Tamandua tetradactyla: one gene and its partners. The protein of the gene in region 1 interacts with the protein of each later gene in a pairwise test. Links are inferred from orthologs where the notes say so. Each region holds a gene or a part of one and is shown in the gene's direction. Other genes may lie near its edges. The genes, in order: KASH5, CYBC1, CDC73 and TMEM11.

Region 1 (7,457 bases):
AATGATTAGAAAGAGGTGTTAGGGATACCTCTCTTTCTTAATATAGACAATGATTACACTAGTATATTTATTAAAATGTTATTGGCCTGTATATTAAGATTTGGCATTTAACTATATGTATGTTACAACTTTACCAAAAAAAAGGTTTTTTTAATTACCCAGACCTCAAAAAAGGAAAAAAAAAAACTGTAGAATAAACCAATCAATGAATGACAGAACACTGGTTAATAAAACTAAGAGATACACCACTGACCAGGCTGTCCTATGAAGACGCTTGGCATGCATTCTGACTGAACTCTCCTAAAGCCCCATGAGGTGGGTAACAATTGTCTCCATTTTGGAGAAGAGGAAGCTGAGCTTCAGGAAGTGAAGCCACTTTCCAAGGTCACAGAACAAAGGCACCAGGTTTTTTAAATCCATACCTCACCTCTTGAAGCACTTCACCACTCCACCTGCCAAACCAGTTCCTTCCCAGGCTTTATAACAGGCCACCACCTAATAGCCAAAATAATAACTACCAATTAACAGGGACCTTGTATAAGCCTGGAATTATCCCCTTGAATCCTCCAGGTAACCTAAGAGATCATTATTATCTCTATTTTTGGGATGAAAACTGAGGCTCTGAGAAGGGAAGTCATTTTCCCAATGTCACAGGAAGAGAAGAAGCCAGAGTATAAACCCAAGAGTATCTGACTCCAGGATCCATAGCCTTAGCCATTACTCTACACTCTTCAGTAGTTACCCTTGACTACTGAATTCATCCACCCATCCATCCATCCATCCATCCACTCATCCACCCAGTCATACATTCAGCAAATATGCTTTGACTGCCACACTGGGCCTGACATGTCCTAGTCCCAAAACAAAGTCTGCATAGAGCTCACATTCTAGAGAAAATTACCAATAATAACCTAAACATAGCTCAACTTCCCTGGCCATTAGAGAAATGCAAATCAAAACCACAATGAGATATCATCTCACACCCACCAGAATGGCCATTATCAACAAAACAGAAAATGACAAGTGCTGGAGAGGATGTGGAGAAAGAGGCACACTTATTCACTGCTGGTGGGAATGTCAAATGGTACAACCGCTGTGGATGGCAGTTCGGCGGTTCCTCAAAATGCTGAGTATAGAATTGCCATATGACCTGGGCAATACCCGGCAATACTCAAGGGACATAAGGGCAAAGACACAAACGGGCATTTGCACACCAATGTTTATAGCAGCATTATTTAAAATTGCAAAAAGATGGAAACAGCCAAAATGTCCATCAACAGACGAGTGGCTAAACAAACTGTGGTATATACATACGGTGGAATATTATGCAGTTTTAAGACAGAATAAAGTTATGAAATATGTAACAACATGGATGGACCTTGAGTACATTATGCTGAGTGAGACTAGCCAAAAACAAAAGGACAAATACTGTATGGTCTCACTGATGTGAACTGACATTAGTGAATAAACTTGGAATATTTCGTTGGTAACAGAGACCATCAGGAGATAGAAATAGGGTAAGATATTGGGTAACTGGAGCTGAAGGGATACAGACTGTGCAACAGTACTGAATACAAAAACTCAGAAATGGACAGCACTATACTACCTAAGTGTAATACAATTATGTTAAAACACTGAATGAAGCTGCATGTGAGAATGATAGAGGGAGGAGGGCTGGGGGCATAAATGAAATCAGAAAGAAAGATGTTAAAGATTGAGATGGTATAATCTAGGAATGCCTAGAGTGTATAATGATAGTGACTAAATGTACAGATTTTTAAAATGTTTTTGCATGAGGAAGAACAAAGGAATGTCATTATTGCAGGGTGCTGAAAATAGATGGTAATTAATATTTTAAAATGTCACCTTAGGTGTGAGACTAAAGCAAACAATGTTTACTTGGCACAAAATTTATATTTTGACTAGTGCATTTCCTAAGATAACTTATGTAGGTAGTTTGATTGAACACCATAAGTACTTGGAATCTCAGGTAGGACATGAGATTTTGTTGGTTTGCCCAGAGTGATGCCCTGATGAATCCCAGAGTGATTCGATCAGTGAGTGGAAAAGTATTTGCAAAGTCCCCTTCAGGGAATGGTGAGAACAGAGAGAAATTCAACTTTCCCAAGTTGAATTCTTGATATTCTCAGAAGCAATGTGGACAACCAAGCTATAGGCTGAGCCCCCAGTCTTGGGGGTTGTTCATATGAAACTTAACCCCACAAAGGATAGGTCAAGTCTACTTAAAATTTAGGCCCAAGAAAAGAACTAGCAAAACAACAGAAAAAGATATAGAATGTTAATATAGAGGAAAAAAATAAAAATAATAATAATAGTAAAAAGAAAAAAAAAGAAAAGGAAAAACAAACAAACAAACAGACAGACAGACAAAAAAAAAAGATTTAGGCCCAAGAGTTATCCCCAGGAGAACCTCTTTTGTTGCTCAGATGTGGCCTCTCTCTCCAGCCAACACAACAAGCAAACTCACCACCCTCCCCCTGCCTACGTGACATGGGACATGATTCCCAGGGGTGTGGACCTTCCTGGCAATGTGGGACAGAAATCCTAGAATGAGCTGAGACTCAGCATCAAGGGATTAAGGAAAACCCTAGAATGAGCTGAAATTCAGCATCAAGGGATTGAGAAAACCTTCTCGACCAAAAGGGGGAAGAGTGAAATGAAGACAAAGTGTCAATGGCTGAGAGATTCCAAATGGAGCCGAGAGGTTATCCTGGAGGTTATTCTTAAGCATTGAGTAGATATCACCTTCTTATTCAAGATGTAATGGAGAGGCTGGAGGGAACTGCCTGAAAATGTAGAGCTGTGTTCCAGTAGCCATGTTTCTTTTTTTTTTTTTCAATGTAATTTTATTGAGATAGCTCTGCACACCACACAATCCATCCAAAATAAACAGTGGTTCACAATACATCACATATTTCTGTATTCATCACAATGATCATTTTTAGAACATTTACATTACTCCAGAGAAAGAAATAAAAAGAAAAAAGAAAAATCCCATACATCCCATACCCCTTACCTCTCCCTCTTACTGACCACTGGCATTGCACTCTACTCACTTTTAAGACTTACAATAGAGATAGATTAACTAACGCAGTGCAGTTTTGACATGTGTATATATATATACAAAATCAGTGAAACAAAGCAAAACATCAAGAAGTAGGTCCATACAAACACAGCAACTGACCCTTATTTTTGCAATATAGTTAAACAATCATTACCAACGACCAGAGTAATGGATTACAGTTCAACAACTTCTGGCTAGTCTAAAATACTAGACCCTATGAAGAAATATCTATATAATAAGTCAGTATATTTTGTTTGCCTTTCATGAGAGAGATTCAAGCATGCTTAGAAGCCCAGTGTGAAGAATCCAGTTGGGAATGAACAGCTAACTATGAAAGAGAGAAGATGAGGAGTTGGAAGAGGGAGGGTCCTGAGCAGGCAGAAGGAGATGGAGTCTTAGCCATGTTTCTTGAGGATGGTTGTATAATGATACAGCTTTCACAGTGTGACTGCGTGATTGTGAAAACCTTGTGTCTGATGCTCCTTTTATCTACCACGTCAACAAACGAGTAGAACATATGGAATAAAAATAAATAATAGGGGGAACAAATGTTAAAATAAAAATAATAATAATAACCTAAACATAGACTGTCACCTGGTGAAACCATTGAAGACCACGTAAACAGAAAAGGTGGTTAGAGGGACAGGGGTTCTATGTAGACAGCCTAGCAGGGAAGGATTCTGAGCACGTCACAGCTGAATGAATGATGCCCAATGAACGAGAGGGTAGATAAGATTCTGTTTTTGTGTCTGGACTATCAGGGAGGCAGAGAAGAAGGGACACCTTTTGTCCCACACCCCCCTTCTTGAGTATCCATTGTTTGTAATTCTCCTCCTCTATGTAGAAAAACTAGGACTACTTTTCCCCTCCTCCCAAGCCGAACGAACCAAATGCTTTGAGGAGCACCCTTCGGGGTCCTCCTGACACAGCGTTCCCGGAGTCACAAAAGGAATCCGGCGTGAGAGCGAGAGCCGTGAGGAGGGAGAGGGCGGGACATTGTGACGGGAATGGGCCACCTGGCAAGGAACAGAGCGTAGGAAGGGCACGGTGTGGGCTGGACGAGCGGTCCCTCAGTCCTCCTCTGCCTTGCTCAGCGTCATTTAGCAGAAGCTTAAGGCACCAGCAGACAAGGCCTCGCAAAGCTCCCGCAACTGCCCCTCCTTCGCCGCAACTGCCCCTCCTTCGCCGCAACAGTTAAAACGCATCCACTGCCCCAGCTTCGCCAACGCGCACGCGCAGTTGCCACCAGCGTGGGCGCGAGCCCGGGCAGACCCACGCATGCGCGACACTGCCGTTACAGGTAACCAACAAGAATAGCTCGCGCCCTCTCAGCGATGTGCGCTTGCGTCAAGGAGGGAGCACGGCGGGGAGGGGTGGGGCTTAGTTGCTGCGCATGCTCTCGCACGCGCAGTCCCTCACCGCGCGCAACTGCCGTCGTTTGTTAGTGGCCTTCGTCGGTGTCTCGAGATTTGGTCGCAGCTCTGGGTGTGCCCTGCGTGAGCGAGACTCCCCACAGAATCCGTGTCAGAGCCGCTCCAGGAAACCTGACAAAGACCCCCAAACTGTAGGCGAGACGCCCCAAATCAGGGCTTCTAAATCCTGTAAGAGTCCTCTTTGAAAGCCTGGCAGAATCTTGTAGAAAGCCTGTCAGGCTTCTCTGTCAGACCTTCCCAACAAATCCTTTCAGGGAGTCCCCGAAATCCTGTCAGGGAGCGCCTGAGATCCTATCATACCCCCGAAATATGCTAGTCAGACATTCCTCCCCAAATCCAATCAGAGACACCCTCATGCCCGAGCTCCTCAGGGGTCTCGTACGTCAAAGCCCGGTCCTGCTCTCCTCATCTGAGCCGAGCCTCGGTGACGCTTCCTGAGTTAGTCCCTGAAACCTAGGCAGGACACAGGCCCCACGTTAAGCGTCGCTCTCTGCACCCCCGAGGGTTGTCCAAACCCCGGAAGCGTCTCCCTTCAGACGCCCCTTTTTCTAGGACCTTCTGAGTCCGCGCGCCCGCTGGGAGCTGGAGAGAGCAGGGTGAGGGGGGACATGGTGAGGAAGGAAGAGGGCGGGGTGGGGGGGGTACCGCTTTGTGGGGACACTGAGGACCCCACCGACTCGGGCGCAGACCCCCTACCCCCGCCGCGGTCAGCCCGGATGGCGCCTGCCCCCCAGTGAATTAGTGCAGCACCCAGTCGCTTTGGGAAATGTCCCGGGGTCAGCCCCTGCCGTCCTGTGGTGGAGCTGGCTGTGACCAGAATTGCACGGGGGATGGCCAAAGCTCAGAGGAGGGGCCCTGGGAAGGCTACCCAGGGCTAGGCAGGAGTGACGCTAGTGCCTGGGGGTGGTCCATGCCTGGGGGAACGTGGTTCTCCGGGAGAAGAGCAGGTTTGAGAGTACGTGCTGAGCTGCCCCGGGGCATGGTGAGGGCAGGGGACCTGGGAGTCTGCCGATGCGGAGAAAAATGTCAAAAAGAGGGAAGGCATTTTGGGGACCACCCTGCATGGGGCTGGGGCACTAGGGAGCCATGGAAGAACTGGGAGCAGGGGGAGCCCGAAGTCCAGTGACAGGGTGCCCTGGTGGCCCAAGGCAATGCGGGACCCAGAGACAGCTCCTGGCTCAGCCCCAGGGTGGGGAGCAGAGCATTTACCCAAGGGAACGTCTTAAGTGGAGACAGGAAGGGCTGCCAGGGGTCAGGGACTGTGACACTGTGTCTGAGAAGGAGATGGGTGGGGCCAGGCCACCCAGGACCTTAAGTGCCAGGCCCAGGGTCCAGGTTCTGTCCCCAGGATGCTGGGGAGCCACAGAAAGGCATTGAGCAGGGGAGGGCAGATTCACTCTGGGGCCTGGTGGAGGATGGACGAGGTAATACCAGGAGGCTAGAGGCTGGGATACAGTCCAGGGGGAGAGGACGAGGCCTGAGCTGAGCCCGGGGCCTTAGGGAAGGAGAGCGAGACTGGTAGTCAGTAGATAGGAGGGACGGGGCTTCAGGGAGGAGGGAAGACTGCCCAACTCGACCCTCCCCTCCCCCTCCCCCCCACTAGTCACCCTTGATCTCTGCCGCCCCCCCTCAGGCCCCCATTTTCCCAGCCCACACCTCCAGTCCATAAAACAGGCCCTGGCAAGCTGCCCCAGTCCTAGCGGGGGCGGGCAAACAGGTTAGAGCGCCAGGAGGGCCCCAACTGCGGATGACCGACTGAGCAGGCTGTCCTGCCCGTTGTCCTTCCAGGAATGATCAGGTCCCTCCTGGTGATGGAGAGAGGCTGTTAGTGTTGCCAGCTGCTGCCAAGCAGTGGGGGTGGCCCATGGAGCTGCCGGAGGGCCAGGCAGGAGGCCGCACTGCAGAAAGTAGGTGACTGGGCCCCTGTGTGCCCTGGGGGGGGGGGGTGAGCAACAGGAGCAAAGGGGTTCCAGGCTGGGACTTGGGGACCCGGAGAGGGGCAGGGGGCAGGAGCTGACACTTCCCCTTCCTCAGGGGAAGCCAGGAAGCCTCTGCTCACGTTGTTCCCCCTTCCCCACTTCCTGGCAGGCCCATGCTGTGCTTCCTTAGGGTCTCTGCCCAGATGCCATCTCTTTCCTGTATGTGAGACTGCTGTCCTGTTATACTCTGTCCCCTTTCCTTCTATCCTTTTCATCACGACACTGACGTGCTTACTCCCCCTTCATCTGTTTCCTTCAGTCTGGTGTTCTCACTCCCCAGGGTAGGGCTGCCCAAGAGAAGCATCACGCGAGCCACATATGTGACTGTAAATTTTAAAGTTTTTTAGCAACCAAATTAAAAAAAGAAAGAAAGAAGAACAATCAAGATGAATGGTAATAATAGATTTTATTTAATCTGGTATATCCAAAAACAGTATCCTTCCAGCATCCAGGCAAAAACGAAAATGTACTGATGAGCTGTGTCCTCTTTTCCTGGCTAAGTCTTTATGATCAGCGTATATTTTACACTATCAGCATCGTGTGTTGCACTTGTTGTCGTCCAGGTGCTGGGTTGCCCTCTCTGAGACTCACCTGCCAAGTGGAGGGGAGCGATGGGGCTGTCCCCAACAGTTGTCCTGACAATGAGGTGTGGCTGCGAAGCAGAGCTGGGATGAGCTTTCCACAGGCAGTACGGATTTCGACAGAAAATTATTCCTGAGAGCACAATATTCTGATTCCCTTTTCTCAAGTGGGAAAGCTGAGACTCAGGAGAGAAGGAAGTCTTTGGTCAAAAGCCATATACCCAGAAGTGATAGAATTGTTGGTTCTGCATTGCCAGCACCCTCTGGGAAAGCCTAGACTAATGGGGGACGCAGGGCCAGAGCCCCTGTCTTAGAGATTCCCAGTTGTCCAGTAGCAGAGCCTGTCCTTTCTCAAAGGCCAAAGAGCTCGGCCTGGCCT
Region 2 (8,217 bases), on another chromosome or scaffold:
GAAAGATATTGGATAATTGGAGCTGAAGGGATACAGATTGTGCAACAGGACTAAATGTAAAAACTCAGAAATGGACAGCACAATACTACCTAGCTGTAATACAATTATGTTAAAACATTGAATGAAGCTGAATGTGAGAATGATAGAGGGAGGAGGGTTGGAAGCACAAATGAAATCAGAAAGAAAGCTAGACGATAAAGATTGAAATGGTATAATCTAGGAATGCCTAGAGTGTATAACGACAGTGACTAAATGTACAAATTTAAAAAATGTTTTTGCATGAGGAAGAACAAAGGAACGTCATTACTGCAGGGTGCTGAAAATAAATGGTAATATTTTAAAATTTCAACTTCTGTGTGAGACTAAAGCAAAAAATGTTTATTTGGTACAAAATTTATATTTTGACTAGTGCATTTCCTAATATAACTTATGTAGATAGCTTGGTTGAACAACATAAGTACATGGAACCTCGGGTAGGACGTGAGATTTTGTTGGTTTGTCCAGAGTGATTTGATCAGTGAGCGGAAAAGTATTTGCAAAGTCCCCTTTGGGGAATGGTGAGAACGGGGAGAAATTCAACTTCCACAAGTTGAATTCTTGATATTCTCACAAGCAGTGTGGACAACCAAAGCTATAGGCTGAGCCCCCAGTCTTGGGTGTTGTTCATATGAAACTTAACCCAACAAAGGATAGGTCAAGTCTACTTAAAATTAGGCCTAAGAGTCACCCCCACGAGAACCTCTTTTGTTGCTCAGATGTGGCCTCTCTCTCCAGCCAACACAACAAGCAAACTCACCACCCTCCCCCTGTCTACGTGGGACGTGACTCCCAGGGATGTGGACCTTCCTGGCAACGTGGGACAGAAATCTGAGAATGAGCTGGGAATCAGCATCTAGGGATTGAGAAAATCCTCTCAACCAAAAGGGGAAGAGTGAAATGAGACAAAGTGTCAATGGCCGAGAGATTCCAAACAGAGTCGAAAGGTTATCCTGGAGGTTATTCTTACCCATTAAGTAGATATCACCTTGTTATCCAAGAGGAAATGGAGAGGCTAGAGGGAACTGCCTGAAAATGTACAGCTGTGTTCCAGTAGCCATGTTTCTTGATGATGATTGTATAATGGTATAGCTTTCACAGTGTGACTGTGTGATTGTGAAAATCTTGTGTCTGATGCTCCTTTTATCTACCTTGTCAACAGATGAGTAGAACATATGGAATAAAAATAAATAATAGGGGGAACAAATGTTAAAATAAATTTAGTTTGAAATGCTAGTGATTAATGAAAGGGAAGAGTAAGGGGTATGGTGTGTATAGTTTTTTTTTCTGTTTTTGTTTTATTTTTCTGTTGTCTTCATTTCTTTTTCTGAATCGATGCAAATGTTCTAAGAAATTATGATGATGATGAATATGCAAGTATGTGATATTATGAATGACTGATTATATATGTAGAGTAGAATGATCACATATTAAGAATGTTTGTGTTTCTTTCCCGTAATTTTTTTTAATTAATAACAAAATTAAAAAAAAAAAAAAAAGAAATAGGTTTTTTCCCTGTAGGGTTCCCCACTGTGGTCAACTGCATCTCTGTGGGGTCCTTTAGCATATCCCTTTGTATTTGGAAGCTCCTGTAAATAGGTCCTTGGATAACTCTAGAAGTTTGATCAGATTCAGAATCAAGGTGTTTAGCAAGAGTACTTCATAGATGATGTATAATTCCATGAGGAGATTCTGTTACCTAAATGTTGTCTTGTGCTCTTAGCAGCCATTGATGAAATTGTCTAGATCCATTGTAGGTCATGAAAGTGATGTTTAAATTCTACCATTTCTCACATAGCGTTATAAATCCATGGATTTAAAAACCTGATGATTTTCAATTCATTGTAATTTTTCTTACTGATGCTCAAATAATCCTTTTTTTTTTTTTTAAAGTAGTGTGAATCTCTTATTTAGGTTCCTGAATTCTTTTGACAAGAACTAACGGTCTTTAGTATCTTCTTTCTTTCTGATACATTTCCTTATAAATTTCTTGCTTCAGACTTGGAATTAGTATTTCTCCAAAAATCATGATGCCTTTAGAATGAATTGGTATTGAAAAAACAGAAAACGGGTACTAGAGTTGCTCATTGCTATTGGGTTGGTCATTTTTTCTAGGACCTTTCAGCAAACAGTACTAGGAAACATAACACATGCAAAATATAACATAAGTTCATATAGGTTTTTCTAATTCAAAATCAAGAATACAGGAATCTTATTTAGCCTCATTGAAATTATATCTGTGACTCCTTTCTCCTGTACTGAAATTTCAATTTCTCCATGGCACCTACATAATTATTCATCTCCTTTATCTCATATTACCCACATAACAGGCTCAGACTAACAATGCTAACGATGCTAACAATGCTAACTCTACTATCCATTTCAAAAAATATGGATATATATATATATATATATTTACACCCCCATACATACCCTTCTTAATCTATGGCATAAAACACATACTTTCTCAACCCTGCTTTTCTCAATCAAATATATATGGATGAGCGCATTCTATAGTAATATAAAGATACTCATTCCTTTTCATAGCTGCATAGCACTCCATCATGAGGGTTGTATGTATTTGTCAGGGTCCAATCAGAAGACAGAACCCACACAACAACTTAAACGGGGGGAGTTTAATATAAAGATTTATTAACTATAAGTCAATTCGCACGTGGAGAGACATTAAGACTAGGAGAAATGTGAAGACTGTAGGAACAGCAGAAATAAGGAGCTGCCACCTCTTCCCCTCAATCTCTTTACCACCAGTTCTTCAATGAAGAACTCCATCCCACCGCCTGGGGTTTTGTTGGAGACTTTGTTGGAGAGGGCTCAGCTGTGACTCACTGGTTGGCAAATAAATCACTGTTGTTGGCAGAAGTTGCTGAAAATCTGCCCTCCAGCGTGCTAGGGAAAAATGGCACAAGAGGTGTCTCACCAGAGGCACTTTGCTACCAATAGCCAGGAGGGCACCAGGGGAAGCTGCTGGACACTGGGTGCTGCTGGCTGACGGGCACCAAAGAGGCTGGATGCCACAGAAGCCCTGTGTGCTTCAAGAGTCCGCAGAGCAAAGCTGGGCAGAACCAGGGACCAAGAGGGCCTCTTCCTGCAATGTCTCTGCAGTGCCCTCTACTGACAAAGCTTCACACTGCTACAGGAGAAAATGAAGCACTCAGATCCATCTTCACAGAGCAGACAATGAAGGATGAATTTGGAGCTGAGATAAAATATAATGATAATTGGCACAACATATGCATTTTATTCAAGTAATCCTCTATTAGTGGTTAGTGTGTTTATTTCCAGTCTTTTGCTATTACCAATATTCAGCAGGACTTTTAACAAAATCAGATATAACTTGTTCAACTTAACATTTGTAGAATGCTTGTGTCTTTATTTTTAAATAGCAAATAGTCTAGCAGGAAAGGTGAAATTGTGTAAATAACTATAATGCAAAGTAGAATTTGCTGGATATCAATAACTGAGATGTCAGTTTGTCCTATTTAAATTCCAACACACAAAATTCTAGTTGCAGTAATCAGGAAGGACTTAAAGGAGGTTCTGACAATTAAAATAGACCTTAAAAACAGTGTACAACCTTAACAGTGAAGTAGGCCATTTCAAAAAGATGCAACATAAGCTGAAGCATTAGGTCAGGGAAGCTCTAGTGTTCAGGCAGAGCATAGTTTTGTGGCAGCTTAGAGCAGTGGTTCTCAAAGAGTGGTCCCAGGAACAGCAAATTCTCAGAGCCCCACCCAATACATAGTACATTTGAAACTCTGCGAACAAGGTCCTCCAATCTGTGTTTTAGCAAGCCCTCCAGGAGATTCGGACAGATACTAAAGGACAGATACTAAAGTTTGAGTATCACATGCATTGAGTATCTGAAGAAACTATAACAGTTATCTCCAAATTTTCTGAGCATGTACCTATCGATAAAACTCATGAGTTTTTGCAGACCAGTGTATGAGTATGCATTTATAAAACTATGTTATGCACAATTGTATTAATATTTATATAAATTACAAAAAGGTATAAAAAGATAAAAACAAATATAAATCCAGCACCCCACAGTCATCCTGGCAATCTCACTTTGGAGACCACTGCAGTGGGCAGTGGTTGTGTGGTAGAGACTCTCCAGTTCCAGGTAGGGTCCTTCCTCTTCTATCTGGCTGGAAATTGAAAAGTGATCTGGGAAGGCTGTTCTTCAGCTATTTAGCAGCAAAAATCAGTGAAAATTTAGTAGAGTGAGGAAGAGAGGACACTTAGTAGGCCCTGACAAGCTGTTCCTGTGGAATAAAATGTCTCCGACTACATCCTTCCTTCCTAAAGATTGGGCCAAGTTAATAACAGAAAAAATGCCATCTGTGGGGTTTACAAACATGCGTGAATGTTTCGTTTTCCCAGCTACACTGAAGGTTTTCTAAGTCAAGGATCCAGACATGCTCATCTGCCTTTCTCTCACTGTGTGCATGAGAAATGCTAGTTATCTTCAATTTTTTTTTTTACCTCTATTTGTATCTTTATTGGAATTGCATTGAATCTACAGATCACATTAGGAGAACTGACATCTTCAGAATATTGAACCTTCCAATCCATGAACAACTCTTAGTTCTACGTCGCTCACCAAAGGGTTTACACTTTTTACTGTAAACTTCTTGCACAACTTTTGCTAGACATTTCTACGTAGATCATATTCTTTTTTTTTTTCTATGAAATGTGTGTGTTTATTTATTATAGTTTCTCTCAATAGATCATATTCTTGAAACTATTTTTACCAGCTGTTTCTGGGGTATAATTTACACATGTTTACACGCATTAAGATTTCAATAAACCGGTCACACGCGAGCAGCCGTCGACAGGACACAGGTAAGGGCAACTGGCGAATCCTCAGGCTTCCGGTTACCGACACAGATGGGCCTCGCTTGGCCCGGAAGTGGACTCCGCCCCACCTCCGCGATCCCGGAAATGAATCCCGCCCCGGAACCCTGATCCTGGAAGTGAGCACCGCCCTCTCCCATGAGCCCGGAAGTGGGTGCCGACCTGCCTGGCGAGCCCGGAAGCGAACGCCGCGGGTCCTCGCCTTCCACTTTCGCCGCGCGGCCGGGGTCCTTCGCGGCGGCACAGGTGCGCACGGCTTCTCGGTAGGACTCCTTGGTCCCCGGCTGCCCTCCGGGTGTGGCGGAGCCGTGAGGGCGGGAGGGGAGGCCGTTCCCACGGGCGCCGCGCCGGCTTTCCTAGTGGCCCCTCGAAAACGGAAGTCGGGAAGCGCGCGCGGGGCTTTCACTGGCCGGGGTCTGGGGGTGGGTGGGCTCGGCCCAGTAGACGAGAAGCGCGTCTGGCGCCGAGGAGGCGGGCAGGGCCCGGTCCCCTCGCGATGAGGAAGGCGGACGCGTGCGCGCCGCCGCTCTCTCCGCCCGGACGCCGCTCTCACGGCGGTTTGACGGGCGCGTCCCTTCCCGCGCTTGTGTCCTTTCGCGGGTTGACCGAGTGGCGGCCCGCACTCTTCGTGGAGGGCCTGCGCCCCAGCCCGCCTTGCGGCTCGCATGGGCCCCGGGGCGAGCCCCACTGACGAGGCACTGCTGTCGTGCGGCTTTCTCCTTGGGGAGGCAGCTGGAAACGGAGCAAGAGAGCTTGGCTGCAGGAAGTGACGGCGGCCCGAGGCGCCGGGGTCCGCGGGGGGCGCAGCTGTCCTGGATAACCGGGCTGGGAGGGAGGACCGGGGGCGTGGGGCGGCGGCGGGGCGAAGTCTAGGGTTAGTCTGCGTGATTTGAGCAAACGACGTGGGCCTGTCCTAGCAGCAGGCGAGCTCAGAGCGTGACTCGGACTAGCCGCGCCCTCGCGCTCCTTCCCGCTTCCTCTCGGCGGCGGACGCAGCCGGTGGGGCGGGTGCGACCCTCCACAGAAGAGCTTCAGGGGGAAGCAGACCCTGGGGCCGACTCCACACACTGTAGAGACCACTCACCTTGGCTAGTGGGGGTGCTGCCCTTGCGGGGGTGATGGCGGAGGGGCGGGCCCTGAGATGGCCAGGGCCAAGGAGGGGCAGGTGGCGGGCTTGAGGGGCCTCATGGCTGGCATCTGTCCCCGCAGCCTCGGCCTTCTGCGCGGCGCCCCCAGACCGCAGAGATGTACATGCAGGTGGAGGTGCGCACGGGCTCCCGCCTGCATTTGAGGAGGGCACCTGGCATCAGGTCCTGGTCGCTCCTGGTCGGTAAGGATTTATTTCTCTAAGAAACAAAAGAAACACTGACTTTGGAAGAAGAATAAAAATGAAATGAAAAATTCCTTGTTTTACTACCCCCGGAATACAGCCACTATTTTTTTTTTATTAATTAAAAAAATTAACAAAACATTAAGATATTCCATTCTACATATACAATCAGTAATTCTTAATATCACATAGCTGCATATTCATAATTTCTTAGAACATTTGCATTGATTTAGAAATAGAAATAAAAAGGCAACAGAAAAAGAAATAAAATGATAACAGAGAAAAAAAGATTATACATACCATACCCCTTACCCCTTGCTTTCATTTGCCACTAGCATTTCAAACTAAATTTATTTTAACATTTGTTCCCCCTATTTATTTTTATTCCATATGTTCTACTCTTTTGTTGGTATAGTAGATAAAAGGAGCATCAGACACAAGGTTTTCACATTCACAGAGTCACATTGTGAAAGCTGTATCATTGTTCAATCATCATTAAGAAACATGGCTACTGGAACACAGCTCTACATTTTCAGGCAGTTCCCTCCAGCCTCCCCACTACATCTTGAACAACAAGGTGATATCTACTTAATGCATAAGAATAACCTCCAGGATAACCTCTTGACTCTGTTTGAAATCTCTCAGCCATTGACACTTAGTCTCATTTCACTCTTCCCCTTTGATCAAGAAGGTTCTCTCAATCCCTTGATGTTAATTCTCAGCTCATTCTAGGGTTTTTCTCAGTCCCTTGATGCTGAGTCTCAGCTCATTCCAGAATCTCTGTCCCACGTTGCCAGGAAGGTCCACACCCCTGGGAGTCATGTCCCACGCAGAGAGGGGGAGGGTGGTGAGACTACTCATTGTGTTGGCTGGAGAGAGAGGCCACATTTTGTTTCTTCGTATGCTTTTCAGTTTTTCCTGTATTCATGTTTTACAAACAAGGCATCTCTCTTTGCCACTTATCTGGTCTCAGTGAGACTCTTCCCCTGCTCTCTGGGCCCCCCCATCCCGGCCCCTGCTCTGTGCTCAGTGGTTTACATCTTCAGCACCTTGTACTGGTCTGGAGCTGCCCCTCCACATACCTGCCCAGCAGGAGCTCAGGGGCAACTGTGCTGTTCCCTGCGACCCTGGCCGGGGTTCTGCTTGGCCTCCTGGCTGCCATATGTCTGTCCTTGTTCCGCACCTGAGCACCAGGCCCTGCCTTGGACGTTTTCAGGGGTGCTTGTGGAGGCCAGTATCAGGGTTTCAGATGAATTTCTTAGCTGTCCCCCCACTTCTGAATCCCAGGCTTTCCTCTTCCATCCTGCCCCCACCCCTCCATCCCGTCTGCAGCCACCCCTGGCAAGGGGAAGGGCCTGTTTGCCTGGGGCTGTGGTCCTGGGGCCAAGGCATGTGAGAGCCCTGGAGCCAGCACCGCTGGGTCAGGGAGGAGGTAGGACCCTGGGTGGACAGCCAGACAGAGGCTCTCATTCTCTTTTCCAGGAATCCTGTCTATTGGCCTGGCTGCTGCCTACTACAGTGGAGGTAAAGGGCCTGGTTCTTGACTTGCCCAGCTGTTCGGAAAATAGCGAAAAGAAGGGGAAACTGTCCCTCATGACCCTCGGGGACCCCGCCACAGTGCAGCAGTGGCCTGGAGTGGCCAGCATGTCTGTTCTCAGGCGCGGGTACCCGACCTGGGCTGCCTGCTGCTTTGGCCTCATATAGATAAGCGTTTTCCTGTGTCATGAATGTTCTCCTAAAAGCTACTCTTTAACATCTGCCTGGGACTCTGATACAGGGTGAACCCACACTGGACACTGCCTCCTATTAGCGTTCCTAGCTTTCCACCACCACACCCCATGCCACCTGATTGCCCCTGGACAAGTACCTGGGAGGGCGGGCATCCCGCTTGATGGAGCAGGCACAGCAGTGCTGCAGATCTGGCAGACGGGTCAGATCCAGCCAGCTCTCTGCCAGGATGGCTGTGGTGTGGG
Region 3 (7,660 bases), on another chromosome or scaffold:
ATGAAGCCGAACACGTTGGGGTTAAAATAACTCAGAACACAGGGGTAAGGAAGACAGTGTCTATATTTTAGAACCACACATACTCTATGAGACCAATGGAAGAAAGGTTTATTTGATCTGGAACTGAAATTTTCAGTACTGCATAATCTAATTCAACCTATCTGCACAGCTCATTTGAACAACTGAAACACAGAAAGCACAGAATGAGAAAGAGGTCCTTTAATCCTGTATAGATTATTGTAATGCCTGGAAACATCCTAGAGTATATTAACCAGATAATCAAAAAATATCAGCAAAGTCCCCTGAGGGAGGGAAGAAAGACTGTGGAACTATTAAATCTTACCATCAGGGAATCCTGATACTGTGTCAAGCTTTTGGGACACCCAAATCAATAGGCCATGCCCTCGATCATGAGGCTTACTTTTGTGAAGCTTATGTAGGTAGTGGAGAAGCTTAGACTACCTATCGGCATGCCTAACAGTTATTTCTGGAGGGCCTCTGTTGTTGTTCAGATGTGGCCTCAGTCTCTCTAAGACCAAGCTCTGCAAGTGAAATAATTGCCCTCCCTACTACGTGGGACATGACATCCAGGGGTGAAAGTCTCCCTAGTGACGTGGGAGAGGACTCCCAGGGATGAATCCAGACCTGGCACCATGGGATCAACAATTACATTCTGACCAAATGGGAGAAAAGAAGTGTAATTAATAAAGTATCAGTGGCAGAGAGAGTTCAAATGGAGTCAAGAGGCTACTCTAGAGGTTTGTCTTATACAAGCTTGTTACCTATAATTACCTGCCAACCCCAAACTAGGACCATTCCAGCCAATCCTAAAGAACACCTAGGGCAATTTATAAGATTCCACAAGGGTTCCAGGCACTAGAGTAACTTGCCAGAAACCTACAACATCCAGATGGGTCCTTGGTCCAGATAAGTCCTGAAACCTAGCCCAGCCTCTCCAGAACATCAGATAGTTCCATCTCCCTACCCCACATTAGTGACAGACCCTTCCAATATGAAAAATTTAGAACTGCCATAGCCCAAACAACCCTAATAAGAGGTATGGAGAGATCAAAGGGGATGGTGGAATTATACATAGAAGATAGACTTTAACAAAGGAATATGGATGCTGAATCATTAGCTGATATCTCTTAGTCTCTAGTATTTTAGAGCAGCTAAAAGAAGAACCTAAAATTGTGAAATTGTAACCCATGTCAAAGTCTGAAATATTTTCTACAACTAATTGTGGTGCTGTGCTTGGAAATTTATAGCTTTTTGTATATATGTTATTGTTCACAAGCAAGGAAGGAAAAAAAGTCAATTGTGATGATAAGAAAGTATTTAAGCCCTATAGCCTCCTACATTCTGGAGCAGCTAGAAGGAAAAATATGAGAGGATTGTGTGGTAGCCCATGACAAGCTCTGGGATCTACCTTGTAACCACTTTTTGAAGAGTGCTTTGAAAAACTATTGCTTTTTTATTTCTTTGCTTTGTACATATGTTATACTATACCATAAAAAAAAAAGTGAAAAAAAAAGAAGCAAGCTCCGGCTAATTGGGGAAATTTCCAGGTGAAATAACAGATTCCCTCTTCTGGTGTACCATGTTAGCTGCAATTTCCACAGTGGGAACAATACAACTGGAAATGGTGGCCAAATCTTGCTTCTGACCTTAGCAGAAGTTATAAATGACACAACTTCTGGCACATTTTGAACAACAAATAAGTCCAAATCTAAATTCATTAGCCAGAGATATCATAGATAATCATATGGCACTTGAGTTCCTTTTAGGTTGCCAAGGGGACTTTATGGTATAATAAACACTTTTTTTTTTTTTTGGCTGCATCTATGTAAATTTTACAGGACAATTAAAACAATCATGACTATTCTAAAAGAAAAGTCATCTAGAAAAGTCCCACCTAGACTTTGGGACATGTTTTGATGATCTGTTACCAGGATATATTGCAAGGTTTAATAACCATTGTGTTTCTGGTAATCACTTGTGTTCAGAGGCTTGAACAACTCAATCTGCAAACACAAGGAGCAAAAGAATTACTACAGTAGTCCAATTATAGGCTTTGTTACCTTAACAACTTTCCGATCAGCACAGACATGGCAATGGTAAATATCTGAGTATCACAAAATTAATGTCCTGTGATATGACTGTCTCTTCTTGACCAAATAAGGGTACTAAGAAAGAGAATAGCAGCCTCAGACGCCATGCTATTCTCCTTTTAAACATTATTTCACAGAGCACTAATGTCAGCAACTCTGTGATAGTGACAGAGCAGGACCAAAACAAGACCACTTTGTAGTCATATCTGAATGCTGACAAAAGCAAGAACATTGTCCAAACTATAAAACTGACCCCAATCAACCCTCTATACTGGATAATATGAGTCACTGCTTCTTTACCAGCTATAACTTTAACCATGTTTCATTCTTCCTTGCCTTCTGGACAAAAAGTACTAAGATACTTAATCATAGAAATACTCCTGCTTCCCTCAGTATCCAATCCAGGGCAAAGTCCTGATTTCTTGAATTCTCCCCCCAAATCACTTAACACAAACACAAATCCTACAATAAGTCTTTACCTTTAACTGAAACACCCCACAGTTTCCAATAGTGTGCAGATTATATCTCTCCACGAGTCAATAAACTTAACCTTGTTGAACTACAGGCATGTGCTTGGTGGTCTTTGGCTGGAGGATATCAACAGAAATCAAGAAAAAATCAGAAAGTCCTAGATTTCTCTTTTTCTTTACTCTTCTGTTTTCAACTACAGACTATTTCCTAAATATATGTTGAATTTATCCTGCCCTCTCAATCCAGCTGCCACTATTTTAATCTCACACCTTCATTTTCCACTAAAACAACAGCTTTTTATGATAATGCCACTTTCATACATTCTCTACTGTTGCTACATTTCGTTATTCCTCTGTGGAAAATGTTAAAATATTACGGTTAGCATCCCCTGAATGTGATTACATTTTGATGACTTGGTTTGTAACCAAAAGTTTTTTATGGTGGCCAAATGGCCCCAGAGATTAGGATTAAATTTATGTTGATGTAAAAGAAAAAAGTGGTTTATTTTGATGTATTAATTTTGACAGAAAATTGCGTGGATACTTTTATAACTTTTTTTCCCCCTTGCTGACACAAATGACAAATGACTGCAATCACAACATACTCTCATGGGCACAGGTTATGCAATGTTGCAGGCATGCCAAAAATAACTTAGCCATTTCCCACTCAAGAAATGCAGAAGAATGAGTGATGTTTTTATAATAACCATGAAGCTAATCCAATTTTAAAAAATTCTACAAATTTCAGACTAGAGTGTGGGTGGGGGATGTGACAGTCAATTACTACTGGAGGTTCCGATATAAGTACGAATATAGTAGACAGTGTGAGGGATAGATAAAAGAGTAATCCTTTCTTTATAGTGTGTGTTTTGGGGTGAAGTTCAGGAAAATATCAAAGGGTGAAAATATTTGCAGAACAGGAAAGTTTCTCAAATTCATAGTGCAAGATGGCTATAAAACATCGAAAATGAACCATATAGTTCTATATGTATATCCCTCGGTTCTGTACATAACCAAAATTGATATCTTTCAAAGCAAGTCAAGAAATTTTGTCAATCACAAACTTGCCTGCTTCTCCCCTGCTACAGTAAAAGGAATATTAATAATAATAAATTATGGGGCCCAAAGGATATGTTTGGTTCAAGGCACACAGAACAGGTCATAGCATACTGAATTTATTTCAGCACTTCGAGCACAGCAAAGACACCATTGAGCCTTCTGGGTGCCAATAAAAATAGGGTAGTCCGACAGTGTTTTTCTTATTCGCACAGTTTGAGGTTTCTGGTCTCTGATTTTTCCATGAGCATCCTAGAACGGAACCATTTTTATATCCTTTGGGATTAGGGGAGCGGGTTAGGCGATAGGTTGGGAAGTCATTATGTAAGGAACGGTGGGGAATACAATATTTACGATATTTTAATGATTTGCTAGACGCTTTCACCTTCTCACCCAATCCTCACAACATCCTTGAAGCTAATATCTATATATTAACTCCATTTTATCCATTAACCAATCAATGCCGCCAGAAGGTATGTAACTTGACTCAAGTCAGATAGCACCCAATAAATAGCAGTTCACGGAATTCATCTCCTCTGGACTTGCTCTTTTCCACCACGCGAATCCATTAAATCAACTAATCAAAACACCGCTCCCACCCCCGAAAAAAAACAAACCACACCACCACCAACAAAAAAACAAAGAAGCACCCTTCTAAATGGGCTTATTCGAATTGCTAAGCTCTCGAACCCTTTTTCTAGGCCAGGGTCCGACTCAGAAAGAAAGAGGATTCTTGCTTTCTGCAAATCCTTTGCCGAGTTCCACTCTCGCCCAGGTGGGGAACAGAAAGTCTCCCGCCCCTCTCAAGGCAGGTCGTTGAACGCTCTGTGCGCTCTCCAGTCAAACAGGGGCTGACCCGCCGTGCAGGTGCGCGCGCACCTGTCGCCCGGCGAGAGCGCTCCTAGAGTGGGTAGGTGGTCCGCGCGCGTGCGCCCGGTAATGTGCCCCGTGCGTGCGCCCTACGCGAGCGCGGTATCCCTGCGTTCTGCGTTTATTGCCGTGAGTCGGCTCTGTGCCAAGTAAGAGTCTGGGAGGGGCATTTTCCCGACCGGTCGCGGCTCCCCCTGGCGGTGGCCTTGCAGCGCTGGAGACGCGCAGTCAGGCGTTCTCCGCGGGCAGCCGGCGGCGGGGCCTTGCCATATAGCGCGGGGTCCTCGGCGGCCTTGGTGGCTGCTACCCCTGCTGCTGTCGTAGACGAGACGGCTGTTAGTGGTGCTGCTGTTGGTTCGCGGCGGCGGCAGCGGCGGCGGCGGCGGAGGAGGAGGGCGAGGCGACCAGAGAAGGAGGAGGCAGGCGCGGCGGCGGTGGCCGGGGCCGGCGGCGGCGAGGGGGGTGAAGATGGCGGACGTTCTCAGCGTTCTGCGACAGTACAACATCCAGAAGAAGGAGATTGTGGTGAAGGGAGACGAAGTGATCTTCGGGGAGTTCTCCTGGCCCAAGAATGTGAAGACCAACTATGTAGTTTGGGGGTAAGTCCGGCATGGCTGTGGCTCGTGGGTGGTAGGGAAGAGTTGGGCGCCCCCAGGTGATCTCCTTTTTAACCCCTCCCCCCGTTTCCTTTGGGGATGTGGTAAAACAGAGGTGCTCTGGGAAAAAGTTTCTCTCAAGAGCAGAAGTTGCACTTTTGGGACGAGGAGGGAAGGGGAAAAGCGCATTTTAGTGGTCCATCCCTTTAAATCTTTGAAAAGCCAAATGGGAAGGATAACGTGGGAGTTTTCGACTTTGCCAGTCGATTTTACCAATATATATTGGGTGCCATCACTGTGTAGGGCTGGTGCACAAATATTCCTGAAAATAGATGCAAAGGAGCGCGATGTCTGGTGTCGGAGACGTCTCTTTTTGTTCCTTATTTTCTTTCTTCTCTTGGTGGCTGCCATGTGTTGTAACTATCTCCGCTGCGCTTGTAGCTGTTCTATTTTTTTTTTTTTTCTGTATTGGTGATTGGGGAGGGGGATTACCCCTCAAGAAGAGAGAACCAACTTTGTGAAGTCAGGACGCAAGCAAATTTGGTGAATTTGCAGTAGTCATCAAAATCTTTGTTAGATGTGAAAGCAGGGAGTTTACTCAGGGAGAAAGTTGCTTGATGTATAATAATAGAGCTTTACAGATCTAAGTACGAAACTGATGCTGTGAATGGTTTTGGACAGTGTGTTAAAGAGTGATGGTTTAGAATGTTGATCCACGTGGGTTTCTTGAATTTAAATAACTCCGGAAAACATCTAGAGACAGGCTTAATAATCTTTGGTGGCCTTTTTAGTGATGTCACTATCTTTGGTGCTTCATTTGGATATTAGAACCTTGAGCCCGAACTTACATCCTCAGTTTTGTTTAATCGAATAGGTAGAATAGGATGTAATGAAGGGAGCAATGGGCTTTGTGAAGAGTTGATGAAAAGCTAGGGGAAATTTAGTTTTGTTTTTTTTTGGTCTTTGTTTTCTGGCCTAGAGGTTTATGGTTTAATTAGCTTTGTGAAATGTTGATGAAGTGACATTTTTATGAGTTATCTAACTGCTTTTTATTTTCAAAAGAATTATCACTGAAAGAATTGCATTTAATTGGATTTCTAATGAAGATTATTTTCTTTATAAAATGATTTAAAGGGAGAACTCAGTATTCAGAGCAGTTCCGTAATCAATCTGAGGAACAGAAAAATTTTTAAGACCCTAGCCCTGCCTCAGAGGAGGTTAACTTAATCGCAGTAGAGGAGGTAAAACAGATAAATTGATGTGAAGTGTTTTCTAGCTCATAAAAGGAGCAGTCACTTTTGACTGGAGGTATTAGGTAAAGTTTCATAGAAGCTTGTTTGCCAGATAGACATCCATTGCATTTTTATTTAATAAATGAATGAATGAATGAGCTTTAAAGAATGTGTAGGAATTCTGTTTGTGCAAATGGGGGTTAGACTTTCCTGAATGAGGGAACGTACATACAGCCATGAGAACTAGAAGGGGAAAGGTGACAAACAACAGTCTAGTGAAGCCAGTGATAAAGGAATGCTTAGAATAGAAGTTCAGTTGCAAATCACACCAAGAAATATATTTCCATTTAATTTATATGTATGTGTCCATGTGGACATGTAAATATATACATAGATGTGTGTATGCATGTATTTATAACATTAAACAATATTTACTCTTACTGAATACAGTGCATTCTGTTATTTTTTTCTATTCTTTTGTACACTGTTTTCAAAAAACCAAGAAACTAGTTGTTACCTCTATGTTTTCCCTCCATGGTAAAATAATTGATGGTGATGCATGGTTCGACATACACTGATTTAGAGGAAAAATAGGAATATTGGCGAAAAAATAGGTTTGGGATTGGTTATAGTGGGCTATATTTAGATGAATTCGATTTATACATTGACTGTTCTATTTCTGTATGGGAGACTGTAGTAGGAAGGGTGGGATTGGACATTAACATTTATTAAGTAATATGTGCTTTCATTAGAGAGTTTGCACCCCAAGAACACATTGTTTTTTCACAAGTAGAATTGTGTTTTGGTTTACATTATTTGTCTCATTTGGTGTGTGTAATAAGAGTCCTTTGAAATTCATTGTTTCATTTACTGGAAGAATGTTTTTGAGGATGTTATCAGTCTCTTCTTTAGCAGGAGCCATAGGATAAATTTCTTGTAAGCTTTAGCACCAATAATAGTTGCGCTACTCTGGACAGTGTGATTGTTTTCTCTTATGGATCCTATCTAATACATAACAGTTAGGGTCCTCTGTTGACAAAGTTCAGAACCCAGTTTGGGCCTAATTCTAATTAAAATACCTTAGAGTAAGAATTTTGAGTGCTTTTCTTACTTCTTGCTTTTTATTATTGTCTGTCTTTGTTATTTGCTTACTTGTGCCCAAAAGACATTTCTACTTACTAGATTTTATATTGTATGTGTATTTTTGTTAACCATGATTAATCCGTTATTGGATAGCAAAGTGGGTATAGAATAGTAAATATGTAAAATTAATTTTTAAGCCCAAGGAGTTGAATTATAATTGTGAGTAAAAATCTTGCCTTAAT
Region 4 (7,853 bases), on another chromosome or scaffold:
TTACTTATATTCAACTCTGTGCCCATCCCCAGACCTCCTTTTCCTGTCTTTTTTTTTTTTATCAACTGACAGGGCTCCCTTTAGTATTTCTTATAGGGCTGGTCTCTTGTTGACTAGTTCTCTCAATCTTTCTTTATCTTTGAAGTTGTTAATCTCTCCCTCAGTTTTGAAGGATAAGTTGGCCAGATAAAAGAATTCTTGGTTGAAAGCCTTTCTCATTCAGGATCTTAAAAATATCATACCATTGCCTTTTTGCTTCCATGGTGCCTAATGAGTAGTCTGAAGTCAGTCTTCTGTGTTTTCCCTTGTATGTAGTAGATTGTTTTTCTCATGATGCTTTCAGGATTTTGTTTCTTTTCAATACCTGACAGTTTGATTAGTATGTGTCTTGGAGTGGGCTTGTTCAAATTTATTCTATTTGAAGTTTGCTGGGCCTCTTTGATGTACATATTTGTGTCTTTGAGGGTTGGGAAGTTTTTTTGAATTATATCTTCAACTAACTTTCCCAACCCTTTGCTCTTCTCTTCTTCTTGTGGGACACTAATAATTCTTATATTTTTGTGCCTCTTGTTATCCATCATTTCCCTAAGACCCAGTTGCATTTTTTCCATCTTTCTTGCCATTTATTCTTTTGTGCTCTCTAGTTCTACTGGTCTATCTTCTAGTTCACTCACTCTTCCTTCCACTTCTTTGAATCTGCTATTGTGCATCTCGAGTATATTTTTTAGTTGGTCTACTGTATCTTTCATTTCTGTGAGATCTGCCATTTTTCTATTCAGCCTCCTGAATTCTTCATTATGCTCTTCCAGTGTCTTTCTGATAGCCTTTATTTCCTTAAAAATATCCTTGAGTAGTTGTTCCACATTCTGTGTCCCCTCTGAAATTTCCATTGGGCCGTTTGACTAGGCCATTTCTGCTTGGATATTTGTGTGCTTTGTGATTTTCTGGGGTGTTCTGGGCATTTATCTTGATATGGTTATTATGCAAGTTGGTTTCCTTCACTCTTCTAAAGTTTTGTATTTACTTGGTTTCTGCTCAACGTTTCCTTTTATACTTTGTTATTCTCTGCCAAATCAAGGTCTGGATCTCATGTAGGGGATACAATTCAAGTTAAGGGTCTATTATAAGGTCAGCCAGGGTGTACACATACTCCAGTGGCAGAATGGTTGACTACCATGCAGAAGGCCCAACTGAACTCCTAGGACCTGGGACCTGCAGTCATGGGTATTTCCCCTACCCCCATCATCTATCCTGTTTCATGGAGCAGGAGTGTAGTCACTCCACTCCAGCCCACCATCCTCCTGAAAGTTAGCTATTATTTATTCATATACTTTTGCTGCTCCTTTCTCTCCCACTTTTCCTTCTGGGACTCCAGTGATGGTAATGCTTACTTGATGCTTACGTGATGGTGTCCCACAGGCCCCTCAGGCTCTGTTCATTTTTCTTCATTATTTTTTCACTTTGCTCCCCACACTGGATAATTTCATGTCTTTTCTTCAAGTTTGTTGATCCTTTATTCTGCTTATTCAAATCTGCTGTTGAGTTCTTCCAATGGGTGTTTCATTTCAATTACTGTTCTTTGCAGCTCCAAAATTTGTTTGGTTCCTTTTTATAATTTCTGTATATTTTGTTCACACAATAATTTCCTAATTTATTTTAGTTTGTGTATGATTTCCTTTATCTCACTGAACATATTTAAAAGTTTATTTAAAGTGTTTCACTAATAATTCTAATGTATAAACTTCTTTAAAGATGATTTTGGCAAATTTTTTTGTGACTAGACCATAATTTCCTGCTTCTTTGTATATTTTAATTTTTTCTTGAGAACTGGACATTTTGAGTATTATGCTCTTATAAGTCCGTAAATATCATTCTCCCACTTCTGTGGGATTATAATTTTTGCCATCAAGGGCTCAAGCCATCAATTTGTGACTTTTCCTAAGTACTTTTGCTCCCAAACAGGGAATGGAAAGAGAAAAGAAAAAAAAAAAATGTGTGCTATATCTTTATGACTCCTCTGGTGCTTTGGCACAATGACAGCCTCAGGGCCAGCCACCCCAGCACCTGACGTAGCTGATCAAACATGTGATCAGTGAGCAGACCACACACTCCCACATTTTGGAGGACTAATGTCCTATAGTCCACCTTGGTACCAGCAAGCTATACCAGGAACCTGGGCTGCATCCCACTGCTGCCTGCCACATGGTTGGGGGGTGGGGGGGTGGTAGTCGCTGCATGGAAGGTGAAATTCACCAATATGTACTGCAGCTTACCTGCCCTTTTATCCAGCTTTTCCCTGGGTGCAGCAGTGTTCCCTTTGACACCAGTGTTCAAAAGAGTTGCTTCAGACAGTTCCCGCCAGTCCAATAACTATTTCACTGGAGGGACTTCCTCCTGGAGCTTCCTACTCTGTCATCTTCCCACAGTCCTATCCAGCAGACTTTTTTTTTTTTTTTTTTTATCAGCTTGGACCTACCTTTTACATTGGCTCTTCAGGAGTCTCCACTGCATGACAGCCCATGGGAATTCCAACTCCACAGTCAAGTTGTGTCCTCAGGTTCTTGGTTAATTCATCCTGAATGAATCAAATCTATCTCTGAACCTTCCCAATGTTGCATGTGCACCAACAGTGATGAAGAAGCATTCTGGGAATCTCAGCTCAAGTCAGCAGATTGGAAACAGATGGCTATTTAGAAATTAAGTGGGTAATGGAAAAGCTGGAGACATGGGAAGTTCATCCTGGGTCAAGTTTTTTGAGCATTTTCACTTACGTTGTACATCTGGCAATGACTTGAACCTCATTTTCACAGACAATGACAGCGTTTGCAAAGCTCTTCCTGAGTGCAGGAGAGGAGTAATCTCTGCAAGCAGCCAGCCCGGGGTCAAATCCAAGTGCTGCTCCTTAGCAGCAGTGTGGCCTTGGTAACACAACCCTCTGTAACTCAATTTCCCTATTTATAAAGTGAGAATGTTGACAATAGCTGTGCTTTTATCGGGTTGTTATGAAGACTGAAAGAAGTGGTTATTGTGACCTTGTGCCAAGCACTGTTCTAAATTCTATCCATGTATCATCTCATTTAGTATTGCTAGCACTCTTACAATATATGCTTCACAACCAGGTGTTCTAGAATCACTATTAAACCTCTCAGTCACCCCCCACTGTATTGTCCTTTATAAGCTCCAGGCACAGAGAAAAGGACAGATATATTCATAGATAGTAACAAGGTAGTATGGCAACTATTCAGAGGTCTGTATAGTGAACTACTTATGGCACCTGGAGGAGGGTGTGTGATCCAACTGGAAAAGCAGTACTTCCTAGACATCAGACAAGTCCAAAGTCTCACAGCAAAAGTTTGCCTGGAGGGAAAGGTATTTTAGGCAAAGCATGAAACATCTGGGGCCACACAAACCCTCTTACTTACTAGAATGGAGGGGTTCCAGGCAGGAGAGTCTGAGAGGTAGGAAGCTACCAAATTTAGGTGCCTCTACATTGTGCTTAAGGAGCTTGGACTTCATCCTGCAAATAATGAGGGACTGAAATTTTAAGCAGATAAAAATATCGTAGAATGGGACCTGGAAGGAAATCCAAAGGACTCTTCAATGATGAGTCACTTTACACCCTCCTGCTTGGCTTGAGAAGTTTCCCTAGATAGGCTATACAGAACAGGGACTGTCCCTGAACCTCAGATTCGCACTTGTATTAGTTGCTCAATAAACACTTCTGGAACTAACGAATATGTCTGGTAACATTATCTCTGGAAAGCAGAAGAGGAACCATAAGTTCAAAAACTGCAAGATATCCCCCAAACAGCCTATAGGTCTGGTTAGTCCACCCTCACACTGATTCCAGGGCAGTGTCCAGACAGGGAAATGCCAGGTCCTGGGGCAAGGTTCCGTTGGGTGGGATGATACGCCCAGCATATGTTTTCAAAGATACCGGGAGTGTGAGATCAGGGTCCTGCCAAGGCAGCCAGGGAAGCGGGCTGTGGGGCAGGGGTTCCCAGGACCCGCTGGCCCTACCTAAAATAGGCCCTCCTTGCTTTTCTTTCTGCAGATCCTTATGTCCTTCAGAACAATGACGTATCATTATTTCTGTTCCTTGCTTTCGCCTCCGACAACCGGCCACCGAGGCAGCAGGGACCACGTCGGTCTGAGGCCCGAAATGACCGCAGGGTCCGGCAAAGCTGAGGGGACGGAGCGGGAGCGGCGACTACCTCCGAAAAGGGCCGTGCGGCACCTCGCCCATCCGTGACCTGAGCGGGCCGAGGCCGGCGGGAAGGACGGGAAGAGCGGGCCGGGAGGCCTCCGCTAGGGCGGTGGGGCTGGCGGCGGGGCTGGCGGCGGCGCAGGGCGCGCACGCGGGGCGCCTCCCGCGGCCCTCTGGGAGTCGTAGGCGCGCCCTTCCCGCCCCTCCTTGCCCGACAAACCCAAGCACGGGAAGCCGGTGGGCTCTGCGACCGGAAGGTCTGAACCCTGCGGTTGTAAGCTCTAAGACAGTGCCGCCACCGGGACCCTTCCAGGGCGGGCCCGCTCCCGCGCGCCGGCCGACTCCAGGTCCCGGGAGGCCTGCGAAGGGCGGGGCTTCCGGCTGCGCGGTGCATTGTGGGCGCAGTGGTTCCGCAGTGGGCCCGGCTTCCGCCTCCCGCGCCGCCGCGGGCCGGGCCGGACTCCACGTCCCGTCGGCCCCCGCGCTGCCCCGCGGCCGCCGGGGCAGAGGCGCTCGCAAGCAGAGTGTCTCCAAGATGGCCGCGTGGGGAAGGAGGCGCCTGGGCCCGGGCAGCAGCGGCGGCAGCGCCCGAGAGAGGTGAGAGGGCCGGGCGCGCGGCGCATCCCGCGGGCGGCGCTCTCCCTGCCGCAGCCGCGCGCGCTCCTTCCGGCCGTGCCCGCTAGCCGGGCTCCGGGGATCCAGTCGCGAGGCCCCGGGATCCGGGTGGGAGCCGGCGCCCGCTCGGAGAGGGCCGAGGAGGCGCCGCGGAGCGCGGGGAGTCCGGGGGATCCTGGCGAGCAGAGGGGGCCGCGGCCGGGCGAGAGGACGCGGCGGGCGCGGGCCCGAGGACCGCCCGGAGCTCCCGCCGCCCGGCCGTGCGCGTGGCCTTCGCGGCCGCGGCCCCCAGGTGGCCAGGCGGGCCCGGGGGCGGCCGGGCGGGGGAGGCCGTGGCCCGCGGCCGGGCCCTGCACGTCTGCACGCCCCCGCGGCGGCCTCGCCTTCCCCCGCGGCGAGCCTGGGTCCTGTGGCGCGGCCTCGGCGACTGGCTGCCCTGAGGGGCCGGTCCGTGACCTTTCCCGAGGGAGCCGTCTGGGCAGGCGGCTCGGCGCGCGTCTCTTTGAAGGTGGCCGGATCCTCGGATCCTATTTCTAGAAGGTGGGATAGAAGGAGGTGGGGTTCATGCTTCGTGTCGAATTCGCAGCTTTTCCTTAAGCCACGAGACTGTCCGGCCACTGGAAGTTTGGGGAGGGTGTGTGCCGGGGGCCGCCTGCATCCAACCGCCCTGCCCGTTCTAAGGCCTGGTTGGAGAAAGAGAGATCAGCAAGAAAAGAAAGTTTGTTTTGCTTTTGCTTTTCTTTCCTTTTTTTGGGTGAGAATCGTTGTTTTTCTCTGTGACTCTGTCACCTGTTATTCCATTACATATCCATTACTGTTATCGCGTGCACATGGCTGTCCTAGCCCAGAAGTGCCTTCCTGTTTGGCAGTTGTGATGGGTTTTATTTTGTGCTCGGGGTTGTCTTCGTCCTCTGGTTTGTATTTCCTCTTCCTTGGGAAAGCAGTGGCAGACAGGTATTTTTGTTTTTTTAACTCCAACAGACCAGACCATAGAAAGAACCTACCTTGATGGTTTCCATTCGGCCTGAAGAACTAGGAAACACTATCAAGATCTTTAATGCAAACATTATCCTTCAGTAAAAGGAAATAACCTGTTTAGAAAATGCAGGGTCTTAGAGGCTAAGGCCTTCCTCACTGGATGAAAGCAACCGGGAGGGCCAAACGGGGATTCCCAGGCATCGCGCAGGGCAGTGCCATCAGAAACTGAGGTCTCGACTAACTCAAGAAAATAGAGCTTACTGATTTTGATAGTTTTCTTTGGCTTGAGGAAAGTATTCAACAGCCCTTGACTGTTGGCCCTCACTTTTTAAAAGAAATACATTAGTTGCCAAAAGTTGCAGATTGAAGAGATTTCATATAAACCTTTCCCTGAACAGTGGGTAGTGGCTGACTCTTTTGGACAGGACAGATGTGCACCAGTTCCTGATAGCTGGACTCATCACAGGCCCCTGCTTGCCTTCGTAGGCATTCAGGTTGCATCAGGTTTGGGGTTTGGGTGGCACCCTCTGCCCTCTCTGCGGATAACATGGCGTGGCTCCCCCGCCGATTGCCTAGGCTGGAAGGCCCTCGCCAGGTTCTGTCAGAGGGTCATTTGCCGGAATCCAGCTTCCTACATTCTTCCATGCCAAGCAGGGATGGGCGCGTTGCCCTGCTGCCTATCCAGCCAGCTGACTTCTGGGGCACTCCTCCATTGCTGCCCAGTTGGTGGAAAGATTGTTTCGGGTGGGGCAGGGGGATTAATTGATTGCCCAGCACCATATATTATGAGGCCAGAGTGTATTATTGGGTCTTATGACTGTGCAGGCTGTTTATGGTTCTCTTAAATTACTTTGTTCCATGTTAGGTTTGCACTGACTCAAATCTCAGCTTGACATTATAAGATCACTTTTCCAAGTTGTTGCACATACTGAGTTGCTGATTGGAATCTGCTTTATGCTGAAACTGACAAAAACATTTAATTTGGGGCAGGGACGGGAACAGAGTAACATTTCTGGCCAACTTTGCAGATCTGCCAGAGGCTGCAGACTCTGAGGCATGGCCTTTAAAGGCCTGCCCAGTGCCAGAGCCCCTCATTATTGCCCCTGTCAGCTGCCTGTTGGTTAGGGTCCAGCTTAGAGCACTGCCACTTGTGGAGCCTTACTTTACTTTGCTCTCAAGACTACAGCTGCTCAGTTGATAGCCACTAGCCACAAATGGCAATTAAAATTAAATTAATTTAAATGAAAGGAAACTTCAGCATCTTGTTTGCCCTAGCCATGTTTCAAGGGCTCAGTGGCCACGCTGTGGCCCACAACCTACTATATTGAGCACTGCTGCTATGGACCATTTTTACCATTGCAGAAAGTTCTAATGATAGGACAGCACTGGTCTAGACTGAAGTAGGAGGGTTGGAAGTAGGAAAGGGATAGCTGCTTGTGTGTGGATTTCTCTCCCCACTCCATTAAACTGAGGGACTTAGCTGTGTCTGTAATGAAGAACGCCAGACTGCCTGTAGCCTGCATTCTTTTCCAGAACTCAGCATGCTGGCAGCAGGCACATCCAGCAGGACGCCACATGTCCCAACGGTGTCTCTGAGACACCCTTGCCCACCTAGGAAAGTACAGTGCAGGTATACGTGTGCTCTGCCACCGTGGTGCGCTCGGACCACCTCTCAGACAGCCCTGGCATCTGACTGGCTATTCGTGTCCACTCTCACGGGGCCCGAGCGTCCTGAGTTTCTCTCGGTCACTGGTGGAATGCAAGTCTAGCCACGTACTCGGAGTTCCTCTCCGTGTTCTCCTGAAAGTTGGACCCGACTGCTTCTGCTTATGATGCGAGGTGGCAGCACTGCGTGAAGCCTGGTCCAGAGTGCCCGGCTTATGGGGGCCAGACGTTAGGTGTTAGGGTTAAATCACTCTTTATGGCCTTGTCCTCCCCTGGCTTGCCGTGGTTCACTTTAGGTGGCCAATTCCATGGGATTACTTCAACACCCTTCAGTGCCGTGCTGTTCTCCTTGTCTGAGATGCCCAGTAGAGGGTTCAGGTTCCCAGGC

The links.
Region 2: the proteins of KASH5 (region 1) and CYBC1 interact in binary tests that used the Homo sapiens proteins (3 or more experiments, as listed by UniProt). The two-hybrid records come from large-scale screens. The link is inferred for Tamandua tetradactyla from reciprocal best matches to the Homo sapiens genes KASH5 and CYBC1.
Region 3: the proteins of KASH5 (region 1) and CDC73 interact in binary tests that used the Homo sapiens proteins (3 or more experiments, as listed by UniProt). The two-hybrid records come from large-scale screens. The link is inferred for Tamandua tetradactyla from reciprocal best matches to the Homo sapiens genes KASH5 and CDC73.
Region 4: the proteins of KASH5 (region 1) and TMEM11 interact in binary tests that used the Homo sapiens proteins (3 or more experiments, as listed by UniProt). The two-hybrid records come from large-scale screens. The link is inferred for Tamandua tetradactyla from reciprocal best matches to the Homo sapiens genes KASH5 and TMEM11.

What each region holds. Positions count from the first base shown.
Region 1 is NC_135342.1:11,710,276-11,717,732, reverse strand, and holds the start of KASH5 (protein KASH5), read left to right. Parts: upstream 1-4,256; 5' UTR 4,257-4,385; intron 4,386-4,491; exon of another isoform or gene 4,492-4,686; intron 4,687-5,070; exon of another isoform or gene 5,071-5,114; intron 5,115-6,306; 5' UTR 6,307-6,382; coding exon 6,383-6,425; intron 6,426-6,890; exon of another isoform or gene 6,891-7,149; intron 7,150-7,457. UniProt on the Homo sapiens protein: As a component of the LINC (LInker of Nucleoskeleton and Cytoskeleton) complex, involved in the connection between the nuclear lamina and the cytoskeleton.
Region 2 is NC_135332.1:74,724,069-74,732,285, reverse strand, and holds the start of CYBC1 (cytochrome b-245 chaperone 1), read left to right. Parts: upstream 1-5,057; 5' UTR 5,058-5,160; exon of another isoform or gene 5,161-5,177; intron 5,178-6,123; 5' UTR 6,124-6,159; coding exon 6,160-6,244; intron 6,245-7,726; coding exon 7,727-7,768; intron 7,769-8,217. UniProt on the Homo sapiens protein: Functions as a chaperone necessary for a stable expression of the CYBA and CYBB subunits of the cytochrome b-245 heterodimer. Controls the phagocyte respiratory burst and is essential for innate immunity.
Region 3 is NC_135330.1:49,025,837-49,033,496, forward strand, and holds the start of CDC73 (parafibromin), read left to right. Parts: upstream 1-4,567; 5' UTR 4,568-4,975; coding exon 4,976-5,106; intron 5,107-7,660.
Region 4 is NC_135332.1:244,262-252,114, forward strand, and holds the start of TMEM11 (transmembrane protein 11, mitochondrial), read left to right. Parts: upstream 1-4,696; 5' UTR 4,697-4,742; coding exon of another isoform or gene 4,743-4,804; intron 4,805-7,853. UniProt on the Homo sapiens protein: Plays a role in mitochondrial morphogenesis.